7 linked regions of the Ovis aries genome follow. The protein of the gene in region 1 interacts with the protein of each later gene in a pairwise test. Links are inferred from orthologs where the notes say so. Each region holds a gene or a part of one and is shown in the gene's direction. Other genes may lie near its edges.

Region 1 (4,153 bases):
AGTGGGCTGCCATCTACGGGGTTGCACAGAGTCGGACACGACTGAAGTGACTTAGCAGCAGCAGCAGGATCCAGGGTTTATAGGAGACATCTCTTAGAAGGAAACAATAATGTTATAATATCCACTAGTTACTGAGGAATTCCTCTTTTCTAGGTACTATGCCAGTAACAATAATTTATGATAATTAACTAATAATGAATATCAAAACAGTAGCAAGTCCTGATCAAGGGCTGTCTGCCAGGCAATGTTCTAAACATTTTTACATATTAACAAATCCTTATTAACAAATTCAAAATAACCATCCTTCAAGGAAGATACTATTATTTCTCTCATTTTACGGATCAGAAAACTGAAGCACAGAGAGGCAAAGTGACTTGCTCAAGTAGAACCAGTAAGTGGACAAAGTTAGGACTCAAACTCTTTTCTCTGGTCCAGCTAGTCCTCTGGGCTCTGAATCCCAACAATCGTGCCCAGTGTAGCTATCTGTCCGGTCTCTGAAGCTTACCAGCTCTCTGTTACTCTGGCAGATGTGCTATTCTGCTCAGGGGGCTGGACAGCTGTGTCTCCAAAAGGGACATTCAAATAGGCCAGCGGACTCCGCGACCTTGCAGAAGACCCCACTGCTGCTGCTGCTAAGGCGCCTCAGTCGTGTCCGACTCTCTGCAACCCCATAGACGGCAGCCCGCCAGGCTCCCCCGTCCCTGCGATTCTCCAGGCAAGAACACTGCAGTGGGTTGCCATTTCCTTCTCCAATGCATAAAAGTGAAAAGTGAAAGTGAAGTCGCTCAGTCGTGTCAGACTCCACACCCACCTGGAAAACTCCGCTCTTTGTATCTAGAGTCTGTATCTTGATAGGATCTTAGGACCCACCCAGCCAGTCTTTCAGGTTTCCACGTGGTCTCTCCCCTCCTGGAAATAAGAATAAGCACTCAGCGGGACAGACCCAAGGGGATCCCAACAGTCTTGAATAAGTCTTCCTTACCTTTAAAGTAAGTGTCAGTATTTTTTCTTCAAACATGAATTAGTTCATTCATCCTCAGAAGGATTCTATGAGGTAGGTAACCGTCTTCACTTTCACTGGGGAAGGAGGGAGGAGAGACTGTGCCCTCAGGGATGAGACACCAGCTGTTACCACATCTGCAGATTGTACTTGGAGGTTCCCCCAAGTTCTCCTGGCTGCAGGTGGTCCCGTCAGCCCACCTGCTGGGATTTTAACTCGGCGAGATATTGCGCCCTTTGCGACACAAATCTGGATATTCTCCAGCCGCCCGCCACCCCGCCCCCGCCCCCGCCCCCGGCCCCGCCCCCGCCCCGGCCCCGGCCCGCCCCCGCCCCCGTCCCCGGCCCCGCCCCGTAACTACCTGGGCAGTGGCGCAGTGAAGGCTCAAGCAGCACGACGCCGTCTCCTAGATACCGGGCCGTCGTCACATGACCTACTCACGTGACCCCCCCCCCACAGCCCAGCTGGGGTTGGAGCTCTGGCAAAGGGCAGCCGGCGGGGCGGGGCTGGGCAAGTTTGTTTCCCGAGTTCGGAGACCAGGAGCCCCCGCGGTTGTGGCGCAGGTGCTGTCCGGTTGGGTCGCGATGGAGCTGCCAGCCGTGAACCTGAAGGTGGCGATGGGCGGGGCGGGTCTCCCGGAGCGTGTTGGGTATTTGCGCTTTTAGTAGGTGATTTTAGAGGTGAGGATTTTAGAGGTAGAGGACCGAGAATCTGGGGAAAGTGGAGTGGTGGGGAGAAAGAGAACGAACAGAGCCCAGGTGTAAGGAGGTGGGCGGACAGACCATACCAGGAAGACAGATCCAGAAGGCCAGCAGGAAAGACCGAGAGGGAGCTGGAGGAGGGAAGCAGCCGTCTCTTCCCTAAGACCGGTTCAGCTGGGAGCGCTGAGCCCCTGAGGCTCGCTTTGGCCTGCGCGCCCAGAATTTCTCTGGAGAAAGAGGAGAGCGTGGTGGGGAGGGACCCAAGGAGAGCCCGAGGCTGGACTTGGAGGCAGGACACCTGCCTTCCACCGAGAGAGGGGTAAAGCTTTCACCTGGACCCCCAACACTGCCCTTACCGCCTCTCTTGTTGGGAAGATCAAGTTAAGGAAATCAAATGATCCCAGACAGATGGTTTTTCAGAGTTGATAGATTCAACGTCTTTATTTCTTAAGCAACACAGACACCAATAGAATTTACTCAAAAGCAGAATCCCCCAACTTTGCACATTTAGGAAAACACTGTAGGTCGCTGGGGTGTCTTCATTTCCTGAGCTGTAAGAATGCCAAAGGCTGTTCTTCTTTTTCTCCCCGCCCTCCTCCAGCCCAGTGTTTCTTGGCTGGGTTTGCCACTGAGAGGCTGAAGCCTTTAGCTTTGGTCAGAAAGGTTTTAGCCTTGGACCAGACCTGCCATCTGCGGCCTAGGTACAGTTTCCTTTGAGATTGTATGCAGGAGTACCCTCTTATTCACCCTTGACAAAGCATTATGCACCCATGGTGTCTGGTCCTAAAGTAAGAGATAGATGACTACAGAACAATACATCATCCATATTTGGATTATTAGACATGGTCTGTGTTGTGACTTCACGTGGGCACATTTCCTTAATATTGAACACTTGCTTCAGCAGACCTCTCCGAGGCTTCCAGTCAACTGCTGCAGGGGGAGAGATGGCTGTGACAAGGGAATGGGCTTGGATTGAAGGTTTAGCAGGGAAGAAATTTACACGAGGGCAACTGAGGTTCATTGGTATCAACATTCACTCTGTTCCAGGCTGTGTGCAGTTAATGCCGACTACCTTTTCTCTGATTAGAGACTTGCCTAAAATAATTATTAAGGGGGAAGGAGGAAAGGGACAGAGGAGCAGGAACTGACGAGGGAGTGAGCCCTAATTCTTAGGGCGTCTGTGGTGTGCCGGGTTATTTATTTAGTCGTATCAACCTTCTGAGATTTTTGTAGCTGAGCCAACTTCAGCTCAGACCAGATAGGTAACTTGTCAAGGCCCCACAGAGATTAAGTGGCAGAGTCAGAATTTGAACCCATCACGGTCAGACTTCAAAGCTCTGTCTTTTCCTGGCCACCATTAGTTAGGGCCAACTTCTGCTTTGACAGTTAGTGCCCAGTGGGAGGGCTTAGTCTGTTTGTGGCTTTTTTTTTTTTTTTTTTTGGAGAAACTTTGTGGGCCTCACAGGCCACACGTGACCACAGATGTGAGCTTTGCCGGCTTTCACTGCCCACAGTGAAATAGCTGGTCCTTTCTTTGACTTGGGAAATAAAACACCATATCTCTAAGGGTCTTAGCTGCTACCAATCAGAGACAAGTAAGTGCTGAGAGGTCGTGAACAGCTAGGGTTGCCAGGTGACATTGAGGACATCCAGTTGAGTTTGAATTTCATATCAACAATGAATAACTTTTTAATCTAAGTATGAAAAGTGAAAGTCATTCAGTCGTGTCCAACTCTTTGTGACCCCAGGGACTGTACAGTCCATGGAATTCTCCAGGCCAGAATACTGGAGTGGGTAGCCTTTCCCTTCTGCAGGGGATCTTCCCAACCTAGGGATCGAACCTAGATCTCCCACATTGCAGGAGGATTCTTTACAGCTGAGCCACCAGGGAAGCCCCAGGATACTGGAGTGGGTTATCCTATCCCTTCTCCAGTGGACCTTATATCCCAGGCAATATTTGGAACAGTCTAGAAAATTATTCATTATCTGAAATTAAAGATTAACTAGGGGTTCTGTTTTTGTTGTTGTTTTTTCTGGCCTCCCACAGGAGTCTAAGTGGGCTATTCTGAGATCAGAACCCCTTGGGAGCTCAGAAAATGCCCAACCCCCCAACCCTGCACTACCCTTGCCCTCCTTTCACACATTCCTGGGGTATTGGCTCAGTGCCTGCTTGTGCCCAGCCCACCCACAGTAGGCAGTGGTGCCAGGTGAACAGAAGCAGCTGCCCCGGGCCCTCCAGGTAGTTCCTAACCCAATGCCACACATGAGGCAAGTCCTGAGCTGAAGGAACGTCATTGTGAGAGTTTAGAAAGTTCTAGACTTGGGTTCATGAGGGCTTGTGAGAAAAGGCCCTTGGGAGGAGGGTGCAGGGGGTTAGTATAGCATGAGGGTTAAGAATTCCGGAACCTGACTGCACAATAGTCAGGGACTGCCTTGTCTCGGGGCTTCCCAG
Region 2 (3,982 bases), on another chromosome or scaffold:
CTGGAGTTACTCCCGCATGAGTTTCCCCAAGGAAACCCTCAGGCTCTGCAAACAGGCGACGACGACCCAAAGCCCCGCTGAGCACCTGGCTCTTTCAGACTCCCCCCAGGACTGTCCCCCAGCGGTTCCCAGCCAGCGACAGGGGCGGCGGAGCGGGGTGCTGTCTCCTCCGGCTCCCGGGGAATCTAAACAAAGACTAGGGCAGAGACCGCTCCCTCCCTCGGGAGCTCGACGTGGCGCGGCGACCAGGGGACGGGCGGGGCGGGCGGGGCCTCCCACCGCTCCCGGCGCACTCGGAGCAGCGGGGACCCTTCCTCCGGCCTCCTGCAGGAGGTGAGGAGCAGGCCGATCAAGCCGGGCTCTCCGCTGGGTTCGGGTGTCCGGGTGTCTAGCTTGCTGCGGGAGGCGGAAGCCGCGCGCCCAGGAACCGCCTCCCGGGTCCAGCCCCCAGGCCCGGCGCAGCACCGGGACAAGCGCCCACCCTCCCCGCGCCCTCGTGGGCACGCCCCCCGCGGCGCGCCGCCCCCGGCCCGGCCCCCGCCCGGCCCCCGCCCTCAGCAGCGGTGGCTCTGCGGAGGGGCCCCGGGTTGCCCGCACCTGCACCCGCGCGTTGGCGGCGGCGGCGCGGAGGCCTGGCTCCCCGCCTGCGCGTCTGTCTTGCTCGCGTCTCTCTAGGTGAGTCGGCAGCGCCCCGAGGCCCATCTCCCGCCACCCCCCGGCCACTGCAGCCCCGGCTGGCCCCACCGCCTCGGTGCAGCCCCCGCGCGCGACCCAGACCCGCGAGCCGGCCGCCTTGTAGCCGGGCCACACTTCGCCTAGGAGGGCGGCATCTCCTCCCCACCCCACTCCACCCCGCCAGGGCTCTTCCTCTTCGCCTTCCCGGCCCGACACGGGGACTCCCCCACCCCCACCCCGGCCAGGGCCACCGCCGCACCTCGCCCCCCGCGCCTCCCCGATCGCGACATCGGGGGCGGCAGGGCCTTTTTGTACGCGCGGCGGGCAGAGGGGCCCCCTCCCGTCGCCTCCCGGAGTGTCACCCGCGCCCACCCCGCGCTCTCTCTCCGCCTCCCGGAGTTCACCCGGACCAGGTGGCGGCGGGCGCCTTTTAGGGGTGCGCGGTCGTGCAATTGGTGGATTTTTTTAAACCGGTTTGGAGGGGGGGAGCGCGGCGTGGGGGGCGGCGAGAGCGCTCCCGGCTCCCGGCGGCTCCTCCTGCTCCGCTCCTCGCTCTCCTGCCGCTTCCCTCCTCGCCTCCCGCGCTCCTGTCCCTGGCTCCGCCGAGCGCACTCCCCCGACGCCGTAGCCGCGAGCCGGGCAGCTCCGGACGCCGAGATGAAGGTGCTCGGACACAAGATCGAGCTGCTGACAGGTATCGCCGACCCTTCCCGGCCGCCGCCCCTCGGCGCGGCCTCGCCGCCAGCTACTTTCCGAGTCGGAGCAGGAGCCGGGCGCGGTGGCGGCGGCCAGGGCTCTGGGGTGTCTCGGGTTGGCGCAGGAGGAGGGGGTGCGGACACCAGCTCATTCCTACCTTGTGCGCTGCGGGCTCCTGTGCAGAGCCGGGCCCCGGGAGAGGACTTGGGGCGGTGCCCTGCCCGGCTTTGCTCTCTGAGTCTCCGCGGTCGGCGTCGGGGTGGGTAGAGCGCTTGCTGCCGGGATGCGGTCGGGGGAGCGGCCCGCTGGAGTCAAGCTCTAGTCAGGTCTTCAAAAGAAGAAAGGGAGCTTGGAGCCCCTGCCCTTCTATCAGTGTCGATCGGTTCCCCCCAAGAAAGAAGCTCCCTGGGCTCCAATAGACTTCGGGGCTGGCGAGGGAGGGGGCTCGGATCTCCGGCTCCCTGTGGCAATCTGAGCAGCCCTCCCTGGGAGGAGAAGTTACTCGCTGGGAGTAGAGGCCAGTGACCAGGAGAATGGGGAGCCAGACTGGACCCTGATGACCAGGAACTTTCAGCCTTGGGCCCCTCTGAAGAAGTGGCCAGCCACTCTGCTGGAAACCACATCCCGGGAGCAGTGGCTGGAAGCAAAAGAGGACACTGGGTCTGCTCTGGAGAAGAGGAAGGAGACGGAGCAAGGGGTCTGAAGGGTGGAGGCACTCTCCCAGACAGGAAGGGCCAACCCTGCTGGTGGCTCCTGTGGCCTCCCCAGGGGAGACGTGCAGAGAGACCCAGACAGGAGGATGGGGGCTGGGAACAGCAGGGAGGTCCAGATGCCCCCAGGTGCCGGGCTCTGGGGTGCCCAGTCAGCGTGTCCTGCAAGGACACATGGGTTCCAGAAAATGTCCTCTGGCACCTGGGAGGTTCAGTCCCTCACCTGGAGGACCTTGCCACCGGGTGCATGGGAACAGAGGACAGGACAGGGAAGGGGGCTTGGTGTGGGGACACACTAAAGAAGCAGGTTGGAGCCTGAGGTGGGAGATAAGGGCAGGAGAGATCTGAGCGTGTGGCAGCATTTGAACTGCACCCTAAAAGACAGATTTTCTATTAATGGAGAGGGAGGCAGTGCTACAGGCTGAAGAATGGAGGGACCAGCATATGCAGAGGGCTTGGGATATGAGAGAGGCTTGAACTAAGCAGAGGCTGGAGGGCTGGAGCGTGTGTGATGGAGTGCGGGGGAGGGTTAGGTAAAGTTTGGAGTTCTGGGTATGGGTTCAAGTAACAGTGAGCCCTCCTTGGCTCAGGCCAGGCTCATAGAGAAGAGGAGATGGGCGCTGTTCCTGGAGCACTGGGAACACTGACCAAGCGTACAGAAGAGCAAGATCCGAGCCCAGTTAGCCAACAGCTCCCCCGCCAGTTCCCTGCCTATTTTCTGTGTAGAACTCGCCTGAGGCAGGCCAGTCCTCCCGACTTCAAAGGGAATTGCACAGGTGGCTGGACTTGTTAATCCCCTGGAGCAAAAGTTTTCACCACTCCGTGGGTGGGTTTTTAGAGCTCCGCACGCAGGACAGAACTCCTGGATCCTTCTCCTTTAGCCCCAGAAGGGCCTGGAGGAGGAATATTGGTGGGAGACATGTGTGGGGGCTCTGGTGGGGCTCCAGGCTTTGGGGCCCCAATACAGTGTACCCTCATCCTCTGGCTACACAGGTTAGGGCCCCTCCTCCCTCATCAGACAGACTTGCCCACTTCTCGCGGACTCTGTGCCCCGGCCAGGCTGGAACAGGGCTCCCTTGGCCACTGTCTTCAGTCCTGGGTCCCATTGCCATTTTCTCTCACCAGGCCCTGGGAGACAGGGCATGCCTCCGCTCCAGTGGTTTTCCCAGCCTTCTCTCTTTCTCCAACTCCCTCCCATCCTCTTACTGGTCTCACCAATCTGGGTTCTATCCCAGTCCCTCTGCAGGCCAGCTGCATGACCTCAGATAGGTGGCTTAACCTCTCTGACTCCAGTTTTCTCATCTTAGAGGTGAAACTGTTGACCCCTCCCTCTGTAAGCTGGGGTGGAGCTTGCTGAAATGGCACAGGAGACACTCCTGGCTGGGGCCTGGCCCCTGGTGGGCACCTCGCGGGCTTCATCTCCCCTCAGGTCCCTTGGTCTTAGCTGTCCCTGTGATGGAGAGTCCAGCTGCCCTGGCTGATTGGCCACTGGGAAGTCTGGATCTGCTTTCACCCGCTTTATCCCTGTTGCATGCATCTGTGTAAACCTGACCCATCTGCTCCACTGGCCAATGAGCAGGTCACAGGTGGTGGCTGGTTTCTTGTGGTGGCATACAGTAAGCGCTCAATAATTGTTGACTGAGCCAGGCTCAGCAGCATCTCCAGGATAATTTCACAGAGGTCTCCAACTCCCTGCCCGCACATCAGCATTAGGAAATTATTTCACTGAACCGCTGTTCAATTGATGTTTATTGAGCTGTTTATAGTTTTCACATTCTCCCATTTCATTATTGTGATCATTTTACCAGTGAGGCCAGTCTCTGCCTCATGTCAAATGGCTGAGAAGAGGTGGTGCTTTGTTTCGAACCTGAGTCCTGAGCCCTGAGCCATCCTATGCGTTT
Region 3 (3,996 bases), on another chromosome or scaffold:
AATCTGTGTTATGTTACTTATTCACACAAGAATAGTGGTTGCCAAGAATTTCCCAATAAAACCTGCTAGGCTGTGACCCACGTTACTACTTTTTAATTGGGCCCTTCAGCCCCAGGAGAAATAAAGGAGCGAGTTGGAGGGGGGGGGGGGGGGCTTTCCCTCTCTGCCTCTTAATTAAGCAAGGCTTCTCACGTTGCAATTGTTTATTCCTCTAGATTTCCTCCGTACCCAAGGCCAAGCTCTTAATCATCACCCTGAGCACGAGGGTGTTCCAGAATAAAAGGTATGCGCAGCCCGAGGGTGGATTTTCCTCTTCTGTTTAAGGAAAAACCCTTTTTAAGGTCATTCCATAATCAATCTAATCCGAGGCAGTCAAAGAGCAACTGCGCAGAGTAAAAGTGCTGGCTACAGTCCGAAGACCTGGCTCCGCGGACGTTTTCCCACTGCCTACTGAGCGGCAAACGAAGAGCGCAGGAAAACAGCTGCAGGGGACAGTCCTAGCTCCAGTTCCACTCCAGAGCTTCGAGTTTCCCCGAAGGTCTTTTATGTTAAATGGTTTTGAAAATCACATTAAAGACGCCCAATGCTCCCCCTCAGTTATTTTTCCCTTTTCAACGTTTGGTGCCCAGCCCTCGCCGCCGAAAAATCCCAGCGCTGGAAGCAAAGCTCGCCGAGTAGGCAGGGGCCTCAAGTCCACACGCGGGGAGCAAGGGGCGGCGCACGGTGGTAGCGTCCGGTCCGGCGCAAAGCCCCACCCGGCCGGCGCCTCGCTTCGGCCGCCGCCTCGCTTCCTGGGAATAGAGGGCACCGGCGGCCCCGCCCCTACCTGCGCGCGGCACTGCCGTGAGCAACAGTCTCCCTCTGGAGCGTGAGAGCCAGACATGGCCGGGACTAGCAGCACCCGCACCTGGCAACTTCGCACGGCTCGAGCGTTCCTGGCGCTTCCCCTGGGCCAACTCAACGAGGCCCGAACTAAAATCAGGCGGCTCTGAGGGCAGCCTGGGGGCGGGGCGGACATGATGAAAGGCGGGTCTGAGAGGGCCTCTCTGACCCAACCGCGCAGCCGCCTGGTTGGGAGGCGGGGCCAGCCAGGTTGGAGGCGGGGCTAGAACTCGACTCAGAGGCGCGCTGGCCTCTAGGGGGCGTGTCCCCGGCTGGGAGGCGGGGCATGGGCGGGCCTTGATGACTGGGCGATCAGGCTGTGCTGAGGGCAGCCCAGGAGAAGGCCGGGAAGATGGCGGCCTCCTGGAGGCTAGGCTGTGACCCGCGCCTGCTGCGTTGCCTTTTGGGCTTTGGCAGTCGCAGAAGCCCAGAGCTGGTTAAGGGGGCTGCTAGGTGGTCTGTCGGCCGTGGAGCTAGTTGGAGATGGTTTCACAGTACGCAGTGGCTGCGGGGTGAGTGGCCGGGGCTTGCTCAGCTTCTCTGTAGCTGAGCAATGGGCCTGGGGCAGGGGCTTTTTGATCGAAGGCCTGCATCTGGGTGTGGAGGCGCCCGGAGCTCACCGTTCCCTAATCCTTTTTGTGGGAGAGGGTCTGCTGGCGTGGTCTAGTGCATGCCGCAAAGGGCTTTTTTGGAAGCTAGGAGAACTTAACTCCATCTCTGGCCGCCTGGTTTCTTCGTGACCTTGCCTTGGAATTTGGGTTCTGAGGCCTGTCTCAGGCCCCTTCCCAGTCATATTTCAGGTGGCTTTAGAGTTGGCTTATTGCCCAAGTTTGCTGACATTCAGACGTCATCGTTAGCTGCTTTTATTCATTTTCCTGACCCGTCTCAGTTAGGAGACCTTCGAGGCCCCTGGGATTGCTCTACGCCAGGACTGATGAAGGACCCCATTTGTAAATGTCTAGACATCATCAGACATAGGTCCGGAAGAATGTTTTAAGCAAAACATGAGCTTGAAAGAGTGAAAATTTAGGAGGGGAATCTTACGAAGGTGTCGACTTAAAGACGCAACGAAAGAGTTGTGAGTTTAAGTTTTATTCTAGGTCTTACTGAGTTTTATAGCCCGGGAGACAGACACTCAGCCCTGAGGAACTGCTCTGCAGAGGTGGGAGTTGAGGGGGGGTGGGGGCTAAGCCAGATTGCATATGAATTTTTTTGGCTAGGAAATGAATGCAGTCAAGCATATACCTTAGCAAAAATTACCGCCAATCATAACAGATATGTCATGTTAATGATTTTAATATTTATTATCTTAGTGTTTTTCTATGGATGGGGAGATGTAAGAATCTAGGGTTATTTAAATTCTTCCTGAGATGTGCTTTGAACCATCCCAGAGCCTGTTTATCCAAAGCATAGTGCTTCATCTTGAATTCCTCTCAGGTCTCACTGTTGCTGGGCAACTGCAGTGAGTTGTGAATTAACCCCTGTGGAACTGGGCAGTCGTTGAAATTCCTTAAATTTATTATAGAAAGTTGTCATTAAATAAAACACAATTCTCCCAGTATTTAATAGTTTGCAATGTAGTGTGCCAGGCATTATTTTTCTTGACAAAAGGGGCAAGTACATACTGAGCCTGATGTATAATTATTACCTGCCGATCATTCAGTCCCTCCATACCATGAATTGTAATATAAAAAATTTGGCGTAGGCATTTGCCTACATATTCTGAGCTACTTGAGGCCCAAGGGGGAAAAAAAAAGTTACATGAAGTTAATGGCATGGTGAGTGCACTGAGACTTTAAGATTTAAGGGAACAATTAAACTCCTTCAGCTTAATGTTTCATAAAATCCCTCTTGTAGCAGTGGCTTTTTTAAACTGTGTTTTAGCATTCCCTGTCCTCTCTTCCCCCAGTTTGTTAAATAATGAACTTTCCTACAGCTGCCAGAGATTCTGTCTGGGGTAGAACTCAGCAATCTACATTTTATAAACAACCTTTGGTGAATTTTCGTGTACAAAACATCAACGTTTGGTGTTTGATGGTCTACACTTTGAGATTTGCTCTCTTAGAAAACCATGGAACATTAAAAGCTCACTGTTAGGAATAACTGAGAAAGAATGTTCTTATTAAACAGATCCTTTTGAGAATCTTTGAACATTTTAAACTCTCTACTGAGAAAGGGGGCAAGTGTTGCATACTCAAAAATGTGCATGCCGTTTCAGGGATTTTGCTTAGACCCAACTTGACAGTGCTTATCTGAGGCATCATGAAATTTTACCTACCCCCCAACACACTGCGAACAACTTGTCTATCTGCTTGAACTTCATCTGTAAAGAATCCTAGGAAAGCTGTGTTAGCTTCCTGGTGCCTCCCTCTTTGATGGATACAGGGCCCGCCTCAGTGATCTAGGATTCTTTCCCTATTTCAAGATCAGTTGTTCAGTGGTGGTCCTCAGGTGTTTATCTGGTGAGCCAGTGGTTAAAGGACTTCCCCCATGGCTCAGAGGTGAAGAATCCACCTGCAGTGCAGGAGCTGCAGAAGACAGATTCGATCCCTGGGTCGGGAAGATCCTCTGGAGGAGGTCACGGCAACCCATTCTAGTATTCTTGCCTGGAGAATCCCATGGATAGAGAGAGGAGCCTAGTGGGCTACAGTCCATAGGGTCACAAAGAGTTGGACACGACTGAAGCGACTTAGCATCTACACACATACACTCACCAGTGGTTTAGACTACGCTTCCACTGCACGAGGTGTGGGTTCGATCCCTGGTCAGGGAACTAAGATCCCACATTCTGTGCAGTGTGGCCAAAAAAATAAATGAATTAAAAAAAATGCCAAAGTCATTTAAATTTTTTTGAAAAAAGGTCAGGTGTTTAGCAATTCTGATCTCTTTTTCAACCTTAATTCCCACTTACCATGCAACAACATATTCACAGGTTCTGGGGTCTGTCTACACGAAAGCTGATTACTGTATGTTATTGGATAGCTGTAGGTTATTTGGAAATCTTAGATATTTTTCCTAATGCTAAGTCAAGATTTGTCTCCTGACTTCACGTATTTTTGTTTTGCCATGATAAATATACATGACAATCCTTGAACTATTTGCTTTACAGAGCAT
Region 4 (3,500 bases), on another chromosome or scaffold:
AAGGCCATGTGTAATGTTTGGTGCAAAGGAGATGCTTGTTGAATAGTTACTATTACCACCACTGTTTGAAATGAAGGAAAGAAGGGACACATAATCCTTCCTTGCGGGTTAGGGAGACGACAGTGGAACAGAAATGGCTAGGAAGGCCTGATCTGCAGCATATTTGCTTCCTGACGAGTTTTGGCTTGTTTCTGTCTGAACCTGTACTCATGGTAACTGCACAGGTCTTCAGCGAATGTGCTGGCGTGTGTACACGTGCATATGTGCTCACAGTGACCCCCCCCAGGATGGGACTGCATGTGGGCAGCAGCAGGCCAACATTGTCTTCCTCATGTGGCTCCCTTGCCAGGGCTCTCTAGCTTTCCCTGGAAGGATGAGCACCATGGCTTGAAGAATGAGAGATCTATTTCCAAAGCAATTAAAGGCTTGGCAGAGATGGTTAACCAGCGTGCCCACTGGTAGAAATTGGGTTGGAGGGTTCATATCACTCACTCCTTATCCTTTTCTCAGGGTCCCTAAATAGCTATTCAGGATGAAACTGTGACTCACGCCGTCTGATACCACTGCAGCATGCGCCTTTGAAAGATGATTAAGAAATTATTAAAAAGTATTTTTAAACTGTTACTTTAACAAGAGAGAGGTCAGAGCCTTTTACATAGCAAAGTGGGTACCTATTCATACATTGCTGTGTGGGTTTTAGCTTCTTCTTTATATAGCTCAGCTCCCAGGTACCTGAACACTCAGTGTAACTAGAAGCAGTGCATCTTGAGCTAAAGTTTTGTTGTCAGTGAAATGTGATGAAATCTGCCTGTTGCCAAGATCCTCCTAAGAAATCTCTTCCATTTGTGCTGGTTGACATCATAAGTAGTTTGCAAAAGAAATAAATATATTCCACCTGATGAAATCAGCTGCTGATTCTGTATTTGCATTTGACCTTATTGAATTGCTTGAGTTTTCATGTTGTGACCTTCTCACATGTTAACTGGCAGAACTTGAGCAGCCATCTTGGCAGACGTACAGTATCTTCTAAGGCGGGAGACAAAGGGGTTTTTCATCCATTATTAATTGATGTTACTCTTTTCAGCATGATTCTACTGTACAGCTGCCAAAATTATTCCAGACCCCAAAAGAACAAGTCATTCTTTCACAAGTGTTTCTTATTATTTACCTAACTTAACAAACGTTTCCTTTCATTTTTCAGCTCCTTTGGGGATGGGGGGAGGACTAATCATTTATATATGAATTGGTATATACCAACTGAATATTTTTGATGAACAACACTTCCAGCCATTTTAGTAACTCCAAGAAATGGTCTTATTCCAAGAGTGTTGAGAGGTTTGCCAAAAGAGTGAGTGAGCCTCAGCACCATTCTTCTTTATCCCCGAGATGTGATCACAGGCTAGAATCAAGTGTCTCCCAAGGTCTCCCCCGGGGCTCCTACAGTTAGTAGCAGAAATTTGATTTTTGCTTGTTTCCTCCTTTGACCCTCGCTTCCCCTTACTCACATCCCTGTGACTTATAGGTATCCAACTGGTTTGGCAACAAACGAATCAGGTACAAGAAGAATATCGGCAAGTTTCAGGAAGAAGCCAACCTCTATGCCGCAAAGACAGCCGTGACAGCTGCGCACGCAGTGGCCGCAGCCGTGCAGAACAACCAGACCAACTCTCCCACCACGCCGAATTCTGGTGCGTATGGGTGCTCACTCCCTCCTCGGCTCAGAAAGCCTGAGGCCACACAGCCCCACCTCACGGGCCAGCACACAAGAGCCATACTGAGGATACAGTGGATTCATAAAGATTCTATTAAAATGCAGGCTTCTTCCTGGAATCAGTGAATGAGTGGATGACCAGAGGGCCTGTAAACCCACTGTTCATAGTGAGTGCCCCTCACTACCAATAGAACCTGGAACTTTCACACTTAGAAGTGGTTTTTAATTCAGCAACGAGGCCCAGTGCTATCCCTAATGATTATTTTAGCTATATTGTTCCATGTGTCATTCTATCCCTAATGATTATTTTAGCTATATTGTTCCATGTGTCATTTTAAAATCCATAGTGGTGTCATTTTTAAAATCCATAGTGGTCTGTCAAAGAACGAGTGAAATAGCAAAAGCGGGAAATTGACCTGTTGCTGTGAATAATGAGGCTGGAATGCTGGGGTTAGTACCACAGTGCTTTCTCCCTGATGTGGCTGCAGACTTGAGTCTGCGGTCCTTATCTGCTGACTTGGTAGGCTCAGCACGTGGTTAGCTGATCAGGACATGGTTAGCTGTGAGAGATATGGTAGTTAGTACATGGATGCAGTATCTTGGCTCCTTATACAATACATTTTGGCCAAACTTTTTGTGGCATTTTTCATGGAATTGGAAGTGTTAAAATTACAGGGAACTTGAGTAGCAACGAAAGACGTACAGCTAGCCCAAACAGATGGGCTTGAGAAGCAATTCAAGGGGCTTTTCTAAGGAGATAATTTAAATATAGTCTTTAAAATTTCAGAAAGGGAGGGTTTTTTGTTTGTGTTGATGTCTTCTTTTTCCCTCCATCCCCACCCCAATCCCAGGTTCTTTTTAATGCAACATGGAAATTGATGAAAGTTAGGCAGAGTGGATGGCTAAGAAAGAGCTTCAGGGACTTTCTGGAGGGCTAGTGGTTAAGACTCTGCCCTTCCACTCCAAGGGGCATGGGTCAATCCCTGGTTGGGGAACTAAGATCCCACATGCTGCTTGGCATGGCCAAGTAAATAATAAATACCTTTTTAAAGTAAAAATAAGTAATAAAAAGTTTGGAGGAATTTTTTTTTTTTAAGCTTCAGAAAAATGTTTCTTCTCTGGGTAATTGTCCACCATGACAGCTAATGATGGTGAAGAGCTCACTTAATGACAAGTCCTGGAGATAAATGAAAACAAGGGGATGGTTCCAAGCCAGCTGCTGGGTGTTTCTCTGTTTTGATTCTTCCTTTGTTTCATAGTTGGGTTTCCCCATCACTAAGACTTTTCTAGATGCAAAATTCACTACTTGCAGTTATTCTCCATCCTCTTAGATCTAGAAATGCTTTATGTTGTACACAACCTTTCCCTTCTTTACCTCTTCTCCTTTCCCTGCCTCTGGGTCTTTGAGGATTATGTGTGTAGCTCTCTGTTATTCAGCTACTTAACTCTTTCCTTTCCAGGTTCTTCTGGTTCTTTTAACCTCCCAAATTCTGGGGACATGTTCATGAACATGCAGAGTCTGAATGGGGATTCTTACCAAGGGTCCCAAGTCGGAGCCAATGTGCAATCACAGGTAGGAGAAATGCCCCAGCTGGGGCCTTTCTAGCAGGGTAGGGTTTGGGCTCAAAACTCCTTCCTCTCGCCCCATGGAAGTGGTCTGCACATCGTGCAGAGCCTGTGCTGGGTGCTTCCAGATGTGACCCATCTGCCCCACCATTTAATTGAATGAGAAGTCAAGTGAACAGTGACTTTGGATGATTCAAACTTGATACACTTTGTGAATGCATTC
Region 5 (3,361 bases), on another chromosome or scaffold:
ACAGAAGATCACAGATGGGTTCCGAGCATGTGATCATCACATGCCCTCAGCCCAGACTTCCTGAAGCCTGTCCAGCTGCTCCTCACAGGAGCCGGGTCCATCACCGCTTTCGAGATGGTGCCCCAGCTGTCCATGACCAGGATCTCCTTCCAGGAGCCTGTCCTCCCAAGCGTGTTCTCAGGAGTGACCAGTTGCCCAGGTGGTGAGGATCTAGATGGGGGGCAAACTCTGCAAACTGGAGTCTCCAGCCAAGGAAGAGGACCGGCCTCCTGCAGCCACTCTTGTTCTCCCCTTCGCCGGCTGTCCTGGGACTGTCGGCTCAGTTCCTCTTTGGGACAGCAGTCCTGTTCCAGGTCACTCCTGCTTCACAGAGATAGGGTTAGGGTCTGCGCCTCCCCGCTGGGCCGTGACACCTTCCCCTTGTGCCTGAGGTGGGGCCCAGAGCCTGACGCTGGTTGAGGTGAGGAGAGCCGGAAAGTCTTGCCCTGACATCCTTTACCCATCCCCCCTCTCCCCCTGACCACAGAAACCCCGATCCCGGCGATGAAGCCCACCAGGCTGAACGCCTTACCCTCGGCCGAGCTGTTTGTGAACTCATTTGTACCAGGATGTGGGCACGTCTTCCCCTCTGCAAACTTTCAGAACTGTGGTCACTATCTACCTTCCCCCCGGCACAAGCTCCAAGCAAGGAGCCAGGAGTCTGAGTTCAGCACCTGGAGTCTAGGCTTCTAGCACCTTCCTCATGCAGCGCCCAGCATCCTTGCCAACTGCCCCCTCTCTTTTTTCAGAGACCCTAGAATTAGGGGCCCCCACCTCCCAGAACGGAAAATTGCAGAATTACAGGAAAGCATGATGCATTCCCCCACTGTCTCCCTCTAGTCACACCTCCCCTCCCATCTAACTCACACCCCAGCCTCACTCACCGCATGCCCCCTCTGCTCACTCCTCTACCCACCTCCCATCTCTTTCTCTCACCTTTTCCAGGAAGCCCCTCTGGTGCGGAGGCCCCCAAGGGCAGCATATAGAGAGGCTTCTGTGGAGACAGACAAGTTCCAAACCAGTGACAATGTGACATCTTCAGGGCCAACCCCCGCCGCCACCGTCCAGGGTGAGGGAAACCTCAGAGAGGGGCGGGGTTGGGGGGACGGGTGTCGATGCAAGCCAGGAAGGCAGGGTGTGTCACACAGAGCAGCTGCCCTGGACAGGCTGAGACCAAACGGGCCTGACGTTGAGGAGCAAAGACCACCCCCCAGCCGCCCCTAGCGCTTGCTGGTTTCTCTTTCTTGAGACCAGAGGACCCAGGAATCTGGGGCGGAGGGGGAACAGACTTCCTCCTCTTTCAGAGACCCAGGAGGCTAGATCACCAGCCTCGTCCTTGCCACCCAGGACCCAGGAACCCAGACTTCACCCCCATGGAGCCCTGCCGGTCCCTGGCCCTCCTCACCAGCTCCCTGGGCCTGGTGTCCCTCTTAGTGGCTCTGAGCACGAATTTCTGGTTTGCAGCCCAGGGGCCCAAGTCTTCATCTCACTCAGGCCTCTGGCCCAGCAAGGATCAAGTCTCAGTAGCAGGTAAGGGCTGGGGGTGTGGTCTTGGTGCTGGGAAAAGCCTGCGGGGACGGGCAGTCAGAGGTCCCATTTCCGAGCAGGCTACATCCATGTGACGCAGAGCTTCTGCATCCTGGCCGTCCTGTGGGGCCTGATCTCCACGGCCTTTCTGGTCATGTCTTGCATCCCTTCGCTGTCTGCCCCCGGACGCGGCCCCATTGTCTCCACCTTCATGGCCTTTGCTGGAGGTGAGGACTCCGTGCTGGGCTTGGGGGCGGGGAGGAGGGGTGCTGAGGAGGGGGAGCTGCTGCAGGGGGGCTGACCCGACCCTCATGTCTCCATCCCCAGCCCTGTCCCTGATAGTGGCTATGACGGTCTACACCATTGAGCGGTGGAACCAGCCAGGAAACCCCCAGGTCCAGAGCTTCTTCGCATGGTCCTTCTACCTGGGCTGGGTTTCAACACTCCTCTTTCTCTGTACAGGTGATTGTGATTGCTGCCTGGGGAGTTCTGGGGCTGGCTTGAGGGGCTGGCTGGGGCTGGGGTGGGGGCTGGCTGGGGGAGGGGCTGGCTGGGAGGGTTGGGGCTGGCTGGGGGCTCTGAGGGAGCAGGAGAGGAGCAAGTATCTAACTTTTCTCTGCTACCCCAGGTGGCCTGAGTCTGGGTGCTCACTGCACGACCCACCGGCCTGGCTACGAGGCCATGTGAACCGCAGGATGGCCTTAGAGCTCTGTTCTCTGAAGGCATCATCAGGAATCCTGAAAGCAACAGCTGGCTCTCCTTCCAGCCAGCCTGCCCTGACTCTCAGCCTCCACAAGCTTCTTCCTTTGTAGCTTCATTCATTCAACAAAAATTTGCCGGGATCTGGTTATTCAAAGGGTCATGCAGCTACGACATAAACTGATGACATGCCAGCTCCATGGTGGGTGACGCTGGGCACCCAGAGGGGAGTCAGTCCTGCCACCCGCCCTGCCCTTCGGGAGCTCCTACCCAGTGTGGGGACCAGTCTAGGCTCAGACATGGCCTTAGGGTCCTTGTTGTCTCTCTTCTTTGTCCTTCCATCTCTTTTCTTCCCTGTGTCTTTTTTTTTTTTTTCCTTTTTGACTGCATGGCATGCAAACTTCCGGGACCAGGGATTGAACCTGCTCCCCCTGGAGCGGAAGCACAGAGTCTTAACCCCTGGGCCAACAGGGAGGTCTTCCTTGTACCTTCCTCCTTTTAGTTCTTGTCTTTTGGCTCCCTCTCTGATTTAGTCACCCTGGCGTTCATCCTTAGTCCTTGTTCATTTCATTAATAAATTCACTCCTTCGGCTGGCTTTTCCTGAGCGCATCCTTTCTGCTGGGCCTTCCACCGTAGATGCCGAGGTGACTCAGACTGGGCCCTGCCTGCCAGGGGCTCCAAGTCCCACAGGGGCAGGCAGAGCCCAGGGCTGGTATTGCAGGAGGACTGGCTGTGTCTGGGGGAGAGGTGGGATGTGGGGGTGAGCTTTCTGGGGAGAATGTGTTTAGGAACTTCTCCAGGGATGAGGAAAGGTAATGCAGGCAGAGGGACCCCAAAGTGGAGGCATGGAGAGGCTGGGAGTTCTCACAAGATGGGGAACAGCACTTTGTGGTCCACTGTCGAATGTGAGAGGGTGACAGGAAATGAGGATGGGTGAGAAGTAGCACCTCTAACCCCACAATTGACTCTCTTGAGGGTGATAGGGAGCTAAGGGTGGAGCAGGGGAGGGACAGCATCTGGTTTGGGTGCCAGAAAGCCCCCCACTCTGCACCCTCTGGAGGCCAGAAGGGGAGAGAAAAAAGACTGCAATCCAAC
Region 6 (4,100 bases), on another chromosome or scaffold:
AAGCAATTATGCAAACGCCTTAACTAAGTGACGTCACGGGCAAACAAGGCGTAAAGTTTAAATCACTATATTCAAACTCAATCACTCGGGTTACCAAAAAGAACGTAGGGATTGCAACAAAAATGTAAGAAAACAGCTCCTGTAAGCATACAAACTTGCATTTGAACTTTAAAAATCCTAGTTTATTGAACTTTTAGTTGGCGTAGTGATCTTCCCTCACTGGGTAGTCCTAGTTCCTAAGAGCATCAGAAACCTACACGCTATGACTGCCTTTAAGTATAAAAGAAGCCCAGCGAGCAGGGTCGAGGGCCGATCGCCGCGCCGGGGCTCGCCCGGGACTGAGTCAGCGGCAGGGCTGAGAAGTTCGGCGGGAGGCGCAGGGCGGGGCTTCCTCCCGCCGACTCTGAACCCAGCTTTACTTTTCCGAGTCCACGTCTCTTCCTTTGGACGGGCGTGTTTCTCCAGGTCGGGACCAGCCAACGTGACAGCCACAGACCTTTACAGAAAGAGCTCCGGCCCGGCCTCAAGGATTTCCCCGGTCGGCAGCCCGGGCCAGCTCGGCCAAGCCCCTCACGGACGGCGGCGCGCGGCTCCCCGCGGGCCGAGCTCGCCGCTCGCCTCACTTCTGGGCGCCCGCGTCGCGGCGCCGAGCGCAGCATCCCCGGCATGGAGACCGGCTCGGACTCAGGTCAGAGGCCCGCGCGTTTGTTTCGCTCCGGGGCCGCCGCAGGGTGCGCGGGCGCGGAGGGGCGGGCGAGGAAGCGGCTAGGCCGGGCCGCCCGCGCAGGCCGCCGCGTGCGGGGTCCGCGCGGGGAGCGCACGCGGGGCCGGCTCCCGCGCGCGGGGCGGGCGGCGGCAGGTGGGCAGGACGAGCCGCGAGCGAGCGAGCGAGCGAGGGCGGGCAGGCGGGCGCGCGAGGGGCCCGGCGGGGGGGCCGCTGGGAGGATGGCTCAGCTCTTTCTAAATATAAAACCGGCGTGAGTCGGGCGAGCGCGGCGCGGAGCCGCAGAGCCGCCGCGCGGGCCGGGCGCACGGGGGACTCGGCCGACCGACGGCGGCTGCTCCGCAGAGGCGCCGGGCTGCGGGAGCGCCCCAGCCGCGAGCTCGCGGGGGACTGGGAGAGCGACGCGTGCAGCGAGGAGGACGCAGGCGGCGGCGGCGGCGGCGGCGGGCGGGCGGGCCTCGCGGGCGCAGCGCGGCCCACGCCGAGCGACCGGAGGCGGCTCCCGGCCCCCGCCGCACCGCGAGCGGCGAGCCCCCCGCGCCGCCCGTCCGCACCCTCCCCCTCCGGCCCCTCCCTCCCTCCCCGGCGCAACATGGCTGCGGCCGCCGCCTCCGCCTCCCAGGACGAGCTGAGTAAGTGCCACGGCAAGCCTGCGGCCGCGAGCCGGAGTCAGCGCCGCGCCGGGCCGGGGGTGCGGCGGCCGGGGCCGGACGGGAGGGTCGGGTCGCCGGGCGGGACGGGCTGGACGGACGGACTGGCGGGCCGCGGCTGCGGCGTGTGGGGGGCTGGGGCGCTCGGGCCTGGTGGGCGGGCGGGCCGCCGCCGCCACCGCTGGCGTTTGTAGGCCTCAGCTTTGCACCGTCACGTTGCGAAATTGAAACCGGAGCCCCGGGAGGAGCCCTCTGTGCGATCCGCCTCGGCTCGGTGTGTCTGGGGGGGAAGCCTAGCTCCCCTGCCCGCTGAGGCTGGGCTGGCGGAGCGGCCGGAGCCCCAGGGTGGCGGGCTGTGCCCACCGTCCCGTCTGACCTCTCCGTGGATTTCTCCGGTCCTAAGTGTGGGGCAAGTTCTGGAAATAGCGCTTTCGGGGAGGGAGAGAAGGTGCCGTGTTGTGACACTCTGGAAATCAGCGGAAGGTCAAGAATAGGCGGTGACCCTCAGGTGGAGCAGGAAGGACTGGGGGGCAGAGAGGGTCGCGGCGCTAGCTGCAGGGGAAGCCTCGGGGTGACAGCGCTCTGGGAAAGGAGAGCCAGTGCACACTTGACCTTAAACGTTGCAGTTTTCCGGGGGACGGCGATCTACGTTCGGGGAAAGCGGTGGTCACCCTGAATCACAGGCCGCTCCGCCCGCCGCCCGGGTTCGCCTCGGTGCTTTGTGGGAAGTGTAGTTCCCGGGCGCCGCAGGCCCACGCTGGGGGTCAAAAAAAAAATCGAATTTTCCTAGGACTTGTAAGATAATTTCTGATTGCGTTTTGGGGTGTTTGGATATAAAGCTTTAAGTTGAAGTGTTGGGTTTCTCCGTGCTGCCCTTCAGTTTATGATCAAAAACAAGAAAGGTATTATTTAGGGATGCTGTGAGTTTTAAATGGAATGAAACCTGGGACAGGTGTAACAAGCCTTGGGAAGTTTCTGTTGTTACAGCCTCCCCTCTCTCAATTTCCATATGAAAGTAGTTGTACACATAATAATAATTTCTGTTTCTTTGGTCTTTGGCTGTTTAAAGCTACTTTAATATGCATGATCTCACTTTTCCCCTCGTAACAGCCTACTAAAGCAGGTAGGTAGAAATTATCTTTGTTTTAAAGAGGAGGCGTGTTTAGAGAGTTAAATTTCCCTGCTGCTTTGACACAAAACTGGCCTAGCAGTAGTGGTGTTTGGTCATTTTGAAGCTGAAATAAAGAATTGATGTGACCCTGGTTAGGATACAGAGCCTGAGTAGATTGGGTCTCTTGCGGTAGTTAGAGATAGACAGGGGCTGATAGTCACAGAGTTGTCGCTTGCCTGTTATTGTCAAGCTGGAGCACCACCACCAGGCCTTCTGGGGAGGTCAGCTCCCTGATCTTTTTTCTTCCATTTTTTGTTATTGTGGTAAAATAAACGTACCATGAAATTTACCGTCATAACCATTTTTAACTGTATAGGCCAGTGGTCTTAAGGACATTTCATATTGTTATGCAACCATCACCACCATTTACCTTGAGAATACTTTTCATCTTGCAAAACTGAAGTTCACTGCTCACTAAATCCCTCCTCCTCCTCCTCCTCCCCCTCCCAGCCCCTGACAGCCTCTATTTTACTTTCTGTCTCTATGATTTTGACATCTCTAGATATTTCATGTAAGTGGACTCATACAAGATTTGTCTGTGACTGGCTTATTTCATCTGGCATAATATCCTTAGGGTTCATCCATGCTGTAGCATGTGACGGGATTTTCTTCCTTTTTAAGGCTAATATTCCGTTGTAGGTATATTTCATATTTTCTCATCCACTCATCTGTCTGTTGATAGATACGCTGGTATGTTTTATCTGTTGTGACTATTGCTGATATGAATATGAATGTGCGTGTATCTCTTTGAGATTGTGCTTCCAGTTCTTTTGTATGTATACCCCAAAGTGGGATTGTTGTGTGATATGATAATTCTATTTTTAATTTTTTTGGGAACTGCCATCCTGTTTTCCACAGTGGCTATATCATTTTATGTTCCCACCAGCAGTAAACCAAGGGCTCCAGTTTTCTTCTAGAACCTTGCCAACGCTTGTTATTTTCTGTACTTTTGATAGCAGCCATCCCAAGGAGTGTGAGGTGGTCTGACTTTTTAAGTGGTTCCACTGCTAGATGCCTGAATTCATGTTATACCACTAAACACATTAAACTATAAATTACTAGTTGGAATGGGGAACAAAACTGGAGGAAGAATTGGGTCTCATTCTGAAGTGGCTGATGTATTTCTATACGTGTGTACTCCTCTACATCAGTACCTGTTAAGATGTTTGCAGTTCTTCTGGTTAAGGAATTTATTGGCTTTAGCAGCTACTGGAAAAGTTAGGAGGAAGTTATTCCAGTCCTTGCCTTTTCATTCTGTTTGGCCAAATCCCCAGTCATTGACTACAGATGTCTGTTGACTTGGTTTCTGTATTTAAGGAGAGATTAAGTACTTGGTAGTTGATACCTTAGAATAATTTAACTTGAAATTACAGTCATAATATACTGCACATATATATAAGGAACTTAAAATCACTTTCAGTTTCAGAAAGGCTGTAATAAAAGGAGAGATGGCTGTAAAAAAAAAAAAGGAGCTAAGTATCTGAATATTTGCTGGTTGTTGTTTATGACTAGTAGATGCTGTGTGTGCTCTATGCTTAGTTGCTCAGTCGTGTCT
Region 7 (4,031 bases), on another chromosome or scaffold:
TAAACCATTGGAAAAAAAAACTCTTCAACTTAAGGTCCTTGCTTGTAGCAATTAACCAGAATGCTGGTTTGAAAGGGTGTTGCCTGGTTCACAGGGTCTCTGGGTGGGCTGGGGATTCAGCCTGCGGAGCTAGTCTGGTGGACACTCCTCTTACTGCACAGTGTTAGAGGCTTCAGCTTGCACCCCAGATGCCCTTGGTACTGAACACTGCATGCCCATATCAGCCCTGCTGCTGCAGCCATGCCTGCATGCAAGGGCATCTGCTGCTGCAGGGACTCGTATTTCTTGTAGCATCTCTGTGCCCGGAGGGAGCTCTGGTGAGCTCTGTACTTTGGGGCTTGTCTGATTGATTGACCAATGCAAGGAAGCTGGGAAAGCAAGTCTTCGGCATGTTCACTCTCATTGTGGGAGAGCACTGCCTCCTTAGGCTGGGAATTCTCCATCCATAGGAAGGGGGTTAGGATGCAGGTGGACAAAAAGAACAATAAATGTTGGAGAGAGTTGCCTGGGTGTCTGAGTGTGTGTGTGTACACACACGTGTGTATGAATGTGTGTGTTCAGTATCCTAGAGACATTTATTTCAATAGGACATCTCTTTGACTTTATGATGAAGCTCAATCATAGGAAAGTAGGATTGATTTTTACAAAATTTTGCTTTTTTGTTGGAAGGGCTGACACACACATTTCAAAAGTACCAATCCTTCTTTTCGGTCATATTTAGCCAGGAGAAAACTTGATGTTTCTGTGAGATTAAAAAATTTCCTGACACTAACTCTGAAATAGGGAGTTCATTGCCTTCATTTTTGGAATGATGTTCTCATTTAGTGAAATCCTGACCCATATAATCAAGATAACAAGGAATTTTTAATTTGCACGAATGACTCAGTTGTGGAGTACACACTTTGACTTGTGTTCTTCTGGGAGGTTGAGAAATTAACACTTGCTTGGTGTACATGAGACACGAAGCTGAAACCAAAATCAACTTGCACTGTGTCATATTTGTACTGAGATAACACAGAGGAACAGCTGTGACTCTTTCAAATGACTCCATTTGTTTGATAATTGCTGGGTAAAAATAGTGCCACTATTGGCTATTTCAGGATGACAGATGGCGTTCTAGATCGTGTTCCTTTCCTCATACCCCAAAAGAACAGGGCTGGGTCTCGCGGAGAATTTTTGTCTGTGTGTGAGATAGCATCAGGGAAGGGCCAGGACACCATTTCAAGTTTCTGTTCTGCAGATAGGTAGGGAGCAGGGAGGGTGATGTAAGGGAAACAGGGAACTGAATTTTTCCAGCCTGAGCAATGACAGGAAATAAAGGCATCGGTTGCTTAGGAGCAGAAGTATCTTGTGCCTTTGCTACCGCTGGAGGAACCAGGTAATTTGCTTTCAGAGCTCACCCATCTCCTGTTCAAACAGAGCTGACATGAGCCCTCTTTTTATCTTGGCTTTGCAGAGTAGAGGGAGGGTGGTCATTAGACCCCTAGCTTTCTTGCACTCAGCAAACTTCTCTGCTGTTTCTAATGTATCGTCTCAAAACTGTGCCAATCAAAAGTCTGTTAATTGGGGGTAAAACAGATTTCCTTCAGGAGCTGGCCCTTGGGTATTTTTCTCAATCAGAAAGCAAATGGAGCCCCACGTGAGTGGAGTAGAGAATGGTCTTTCACCCGAGTGGCAGGCAATGTTTGATATCTTATCGGTGTCCTCACTCTTACCTCAAGGAGGGAAGGTTGTCACATATGCACCCTCACTTTTCAGTCTGAAGTCAAGGAGGGAGGCAGGAACATTGATCTTTTGTGAAGTCTGAGGGCCCACGTCCTGGTACTGAGAAGGTCAGACAAAGATTTACAGCCTTACCTGTGTATGTGAATCTCTTTTGGAGATTTTATAACATAAATTTACCTGAGACCTACTTCCCAAATTTTGATTCACTGGGTCTTTGGTACAGCTCAGGCCCCTGTAGGTATAAAAGTTTCCCAGGTAATCAGAGCTTAAAAGTCAGTCCCATTTTCTCCCTACTCAGCTCCTGCTGAAGAGTGTTAGGTGCCTAGAACAGGCCGGTGACAGGAAGTCCTGGGTATGAAGTTCCTGGGCTTCCTCGTTCTTGTCCAGAGCTGCATGCTTGCCCTGGGTCCTTCTCTCTAGGAAGCTCTGTGGACACTTACATGGCGCCTGCAAGGGTGAGTTCCTTGTTCTTCCATAGTTTAAATGGAAACAGTTACTCTCATAGGAGCACTCAGAGGGAAAATTGAGACTTGTGGTTGGGTAGAAAAACAGTGGAAATATTTAGGCAGTGAGTAGGCTATAGGAAAGTCTTCCCAGATGACACAGCGGTAAAGAATCTGCCTGCCAATTTAGGAGATGCGGGTTCCATCTCTGGGTTGGGAAGATCCCCTGGAAAAGGAAATGGCAATCCACTCCAGTATTTTTGCCTGGGAAATCCCATGGACAGAGGAGCCTGGCCAGCTACAGTTTTCCAATGGAGTCACACAGGAGTCAGCCATAACTTAGTGACTAAACCAACAACAAGGCTATAGGAAACGGGTTAGAAGAGCTCTGATCCCCAGTGTTTCTGACCTGCAGGAGTGGTAAGAACAGAACCTCTGGGCATGTAGGCATACGTCATAAACATATCATGTCTGAGAAAGGCCCTGGAGGGAGTGAACACCTCTTAATTCTACTCACCCTTCTCTAAGGGTTCAAGGAAAATTGAGTAGTTTAACTAAGAGTATTTTAGTTGTAGCAGCAAATAATTTTAAAGGCGAATGAGATCTGGTTCCCATTTGCCTCTTTTTTTTTGTCCTCAGAAGAAGTCAATGATTATTGTTACATTGAAAATGAACATTATTAGAGATTATATAATCTTAAAACATCTTCAGTCTGATAATAAAAGAAGTGTTGACCATTTCTCCTAGAAAGCCGCAAGCCTAAGGCAGTTATTTCTTGGCACTTTTTTGCTCAGTTATGTAAATGGCCCTTTGTGGGAACACCAGAGTTGATCCAGAAATCTCGTTTTAAAGAGAGCTATCACATGCAGGAGAGGGAGCTCCGTGGGCAGTTCTGATCTGCATGATCCCAGAGTGCTGGTGTGGGGCTAAAAACAGCATGGGGCTGTCCTCGGCCATGAAATCAGTCTCAACAGCTTCATAGTCACACTGGAAATAGACTTGCATCTCCCCTACTGCTCGCCAAATCCTAAGGATGTGGATTTGAGAAAGAAGAAAAGAAATTTCAACCCAACTCACAGTGAAACCTGTGGAAGTAATTTGGAATTTCCTATTCTTTTCTTTGGCCCTCTGCTGACTCCCTTTGTATGAGTGCAGAATCCAGCATGAACCTGGGATGTGGGCTAAGAAGAGACCAAGAGGACATTTCAGAGGTTTTTTAGCCACCCTGTCATGCAAGGCACAGAGCTCCTGAATGGGCAGGGCTTGCCCTGAAGTCAAGGAGTTGTAGGGGATTTCTCTAGAAGCTGTGTGTATCTAGCAGTCATACTTTGTAATGCTTACTTAGGATGCGGGGCTTCCCAGGTGACACCAGTGGTAAAGAACCCACTTGCCAATGCAGGAGACGAAAGAGATGCGGGTTCGATCCTTGGGTCAGGAAGAGGAGGAGGGTATGGCAACCCACTCCAGTATTCTGGCCTGGAGAATCCCATGGACAGAGGAGCCTGGCGGGCTACAGTTGCAGAGTTGGAAGTGACTGAAGTGACTCAGTGGGCATGCATGCAGGAGGATGAGATTGTTGGCTTACAACCCCCAGACCGCCCCTCAGTGCTACTGCTGCAGAGCTGGGCCCTCTGCCCAGGCCTCCTGCTGGTACTTTGGTTTCTCCCAATAGACCTGTAATGAAGAGGTCAGCCATAACCCCCTCCCTGCCAGAACCCCACCATAACAGCTACCAATGTTCACCCAGAGCAGATACTTAGTAACTTTGTTTTTCAATAGTTTCCTAGTTGGCTCCCATAATGATATAAAAATAAAAATAGAAGTGTGTCTTTTCTTGCCTCTCCTACTTGACCTCCAAGTTAA

The links.
Region 2: the proteins of AGTRAP (region 1) and NDRG4 interact in binary tests that used the Homo sapiens proteins (3 or more experiments, as listed by UniProt). The two-hybrid records come from large-scale screens. The link is inferred for Ovis aries from reciprocal best matches to the Homo sapiens genes AGTRAP and NDRG4.
Region 3: the proteins of AGTRAP (region 1) and PDHX interact in binary tests that used the Homo sapiens proteins (3 or more experiments, as listed by UniProt). The two-hybrid records come from large-scale screens. The link is inferred for Ovis aries from reciprocal best matches to the Homo sapiens genes AGTRAP and PDHX.
Region 4: the proteins of AGTRAP (region 1) and PBX3 interact in a two-hybrid assay, tested with the Homo sapiens proteins (4 studies listed by BioGRID). The two-hybrid records come from large-scale screens. The link is inferred for Ovis aries from reciprocal best matches to the Homo sapiens genes AGTRAP and PBX3.
Region 5: the proteins of AGTRAP (region 1) and NKG7 interact in binary tests that used the Homo sapiens proteins (3 or more experiments, as listed by UniProt). The two-hybrid records come from large-scale screens. The link is inferred for Ovis aries from reciprocal best matches to the Homo sapiens genes AGTRAP and NKG7.
Region 6: the proteins of AGTRAP (region 1) and ECPAS interact in binary tests that used the Homo sapiens proteins (3 or more experiments, as listed by UniProt). The two-hybrid records come from large-scale screens. The link is inferred for Ovis aries from reciprocal best matches to the Homo sapiens genes AGTRAP and ECPAS.
Region 7: the proteins of AGTRAP (region 1) and SYT16 interact in binary tests that used the Homo sapiens proteins (3 or more experiments, as listed by UniProt). The link is inferred for Ovis aries from reciprocal best matches to the Homo sapiens genes AGTRAP and SYT16.

Annotation. Positions count from the first base shown.
Region 1 is NC_056065.1:41,204,312-41,208,464, reverse strand, and holds the start of AGTRAP (type-1 angiotensin II receptor-associated protein), read left to right. Parts: upstream 1-1,353; 5' UTR 1,354-1,428; coding exon 1,429-1,563; exon of another isoform or gene 1,564-1,584; coding exon of another isoform or gene 1,585-1,611; intron 1,612-4,153. UniProt on the Homo sapiens protein: Appears to be a negative regulator of type-1 angiotensin II receptor-mediated signaling by regulating receptor internalization as well as mechanism of receptor desensitization such as phosphorylation.
Region 2 is NC_056067.1:25,843,264-25,847,245, forward strand, and holds the start of NDRG4 (protein NDRG4), read left to right. Parts: upstream 1-1,182; 5' UTR 1,183-1,332; coding exon 1,333-1,369; intron 1,370-3,982. UniProt on the Homo sapiens protein: Contributes to the maintenance of intracerebral BDNF levels within the normal range, which is necessary for the preservation of spatial learning and the resistance to neuronal cell death caused by ischemic stress.
Region 3 is NC_056068.1:64,238,595-64,242,590, forward strand, and holds the start of PDHX (pyruvate dehydrogenase protein X component, mitochondrial), read left to right. Parts: upstream 1-1,196; 5' UTR 1,197-1,234; coding exon 1,235-1,394; intron 1,395-3,996. Other genes in the region: APIP (methylthioribulose-1-phosphate dehydratase), read right to left, coding at 827-1,018.
Region 4 is NC_056056.1:10,137,761-10,141,260, reverse strand, and holds part of PBX3 (pre-B-cell leukemia transcription factor 3), read left to right. Parts: intron 1-1,522; coding exon 1,523-1,688; intron 1,689-3,171; coding exon 3,172-3,284; intron 3,285-3,500. UniProt on the Homo sapiens protein: Transcriptional activator that binds the sequence 5'-ATCAATCAA-3'.
Region 5 is NC_056067.1:57,519,990-57,523,350, reverse strand, and holds NKG7 (protein NKG7), read left to right. Parts: upstream 1-1,181; 5' UTR 1,182-1,412; coding exon 1,413-1,569; intron 1,570-1,646; coding exon 1,647-1,793; intron 1,794-1,893; coding exon 1,894-2,028; intron 2,029-2,194; coding exon 2,195-2,253; 3' UTR 2,254-2,861; downstream 2,862-3,361.
Region 6 is NC_056055.1:12,010,964-12,015,063, forward strand, and holds the start of ECPAS (proteasome adapter and scaffold protein ECM29), read left to right. Parts: upstream 1-1,300; 5' UTR 1,301-1,316; coding exon 1,317-1,356; exon of another isoform or gene 1,357-1,415; intron 1,416-1,592; exon of another isoform or gene 1,593-1,648; intron 1,649-1,704; exon of another isoform or gene 1,705-4,100. UniProt on the Homo sapiens protein: Adapter/scaffolding protein that binds to the 26S proteasome, motor proteins and other compartment specific proteins. May couple the proteasome to different compartments including endosome, endoplasmic reticulum and centrosome.
Region 7 is NC_056060.1:72,054,817-72,058,847, forward strand, and holds the start of SYT16 (synaptotagmin-16), read left to right. Parts: upstream 1-1,231; 5' UTR 1,232-1,378; intron 1,379-4,031. UniProt on the Homo sapiens protein: May be involved in the trafficking and exocytosis of secretory vesicles in non-neuronal tissues. Is Ca(2+)-independent.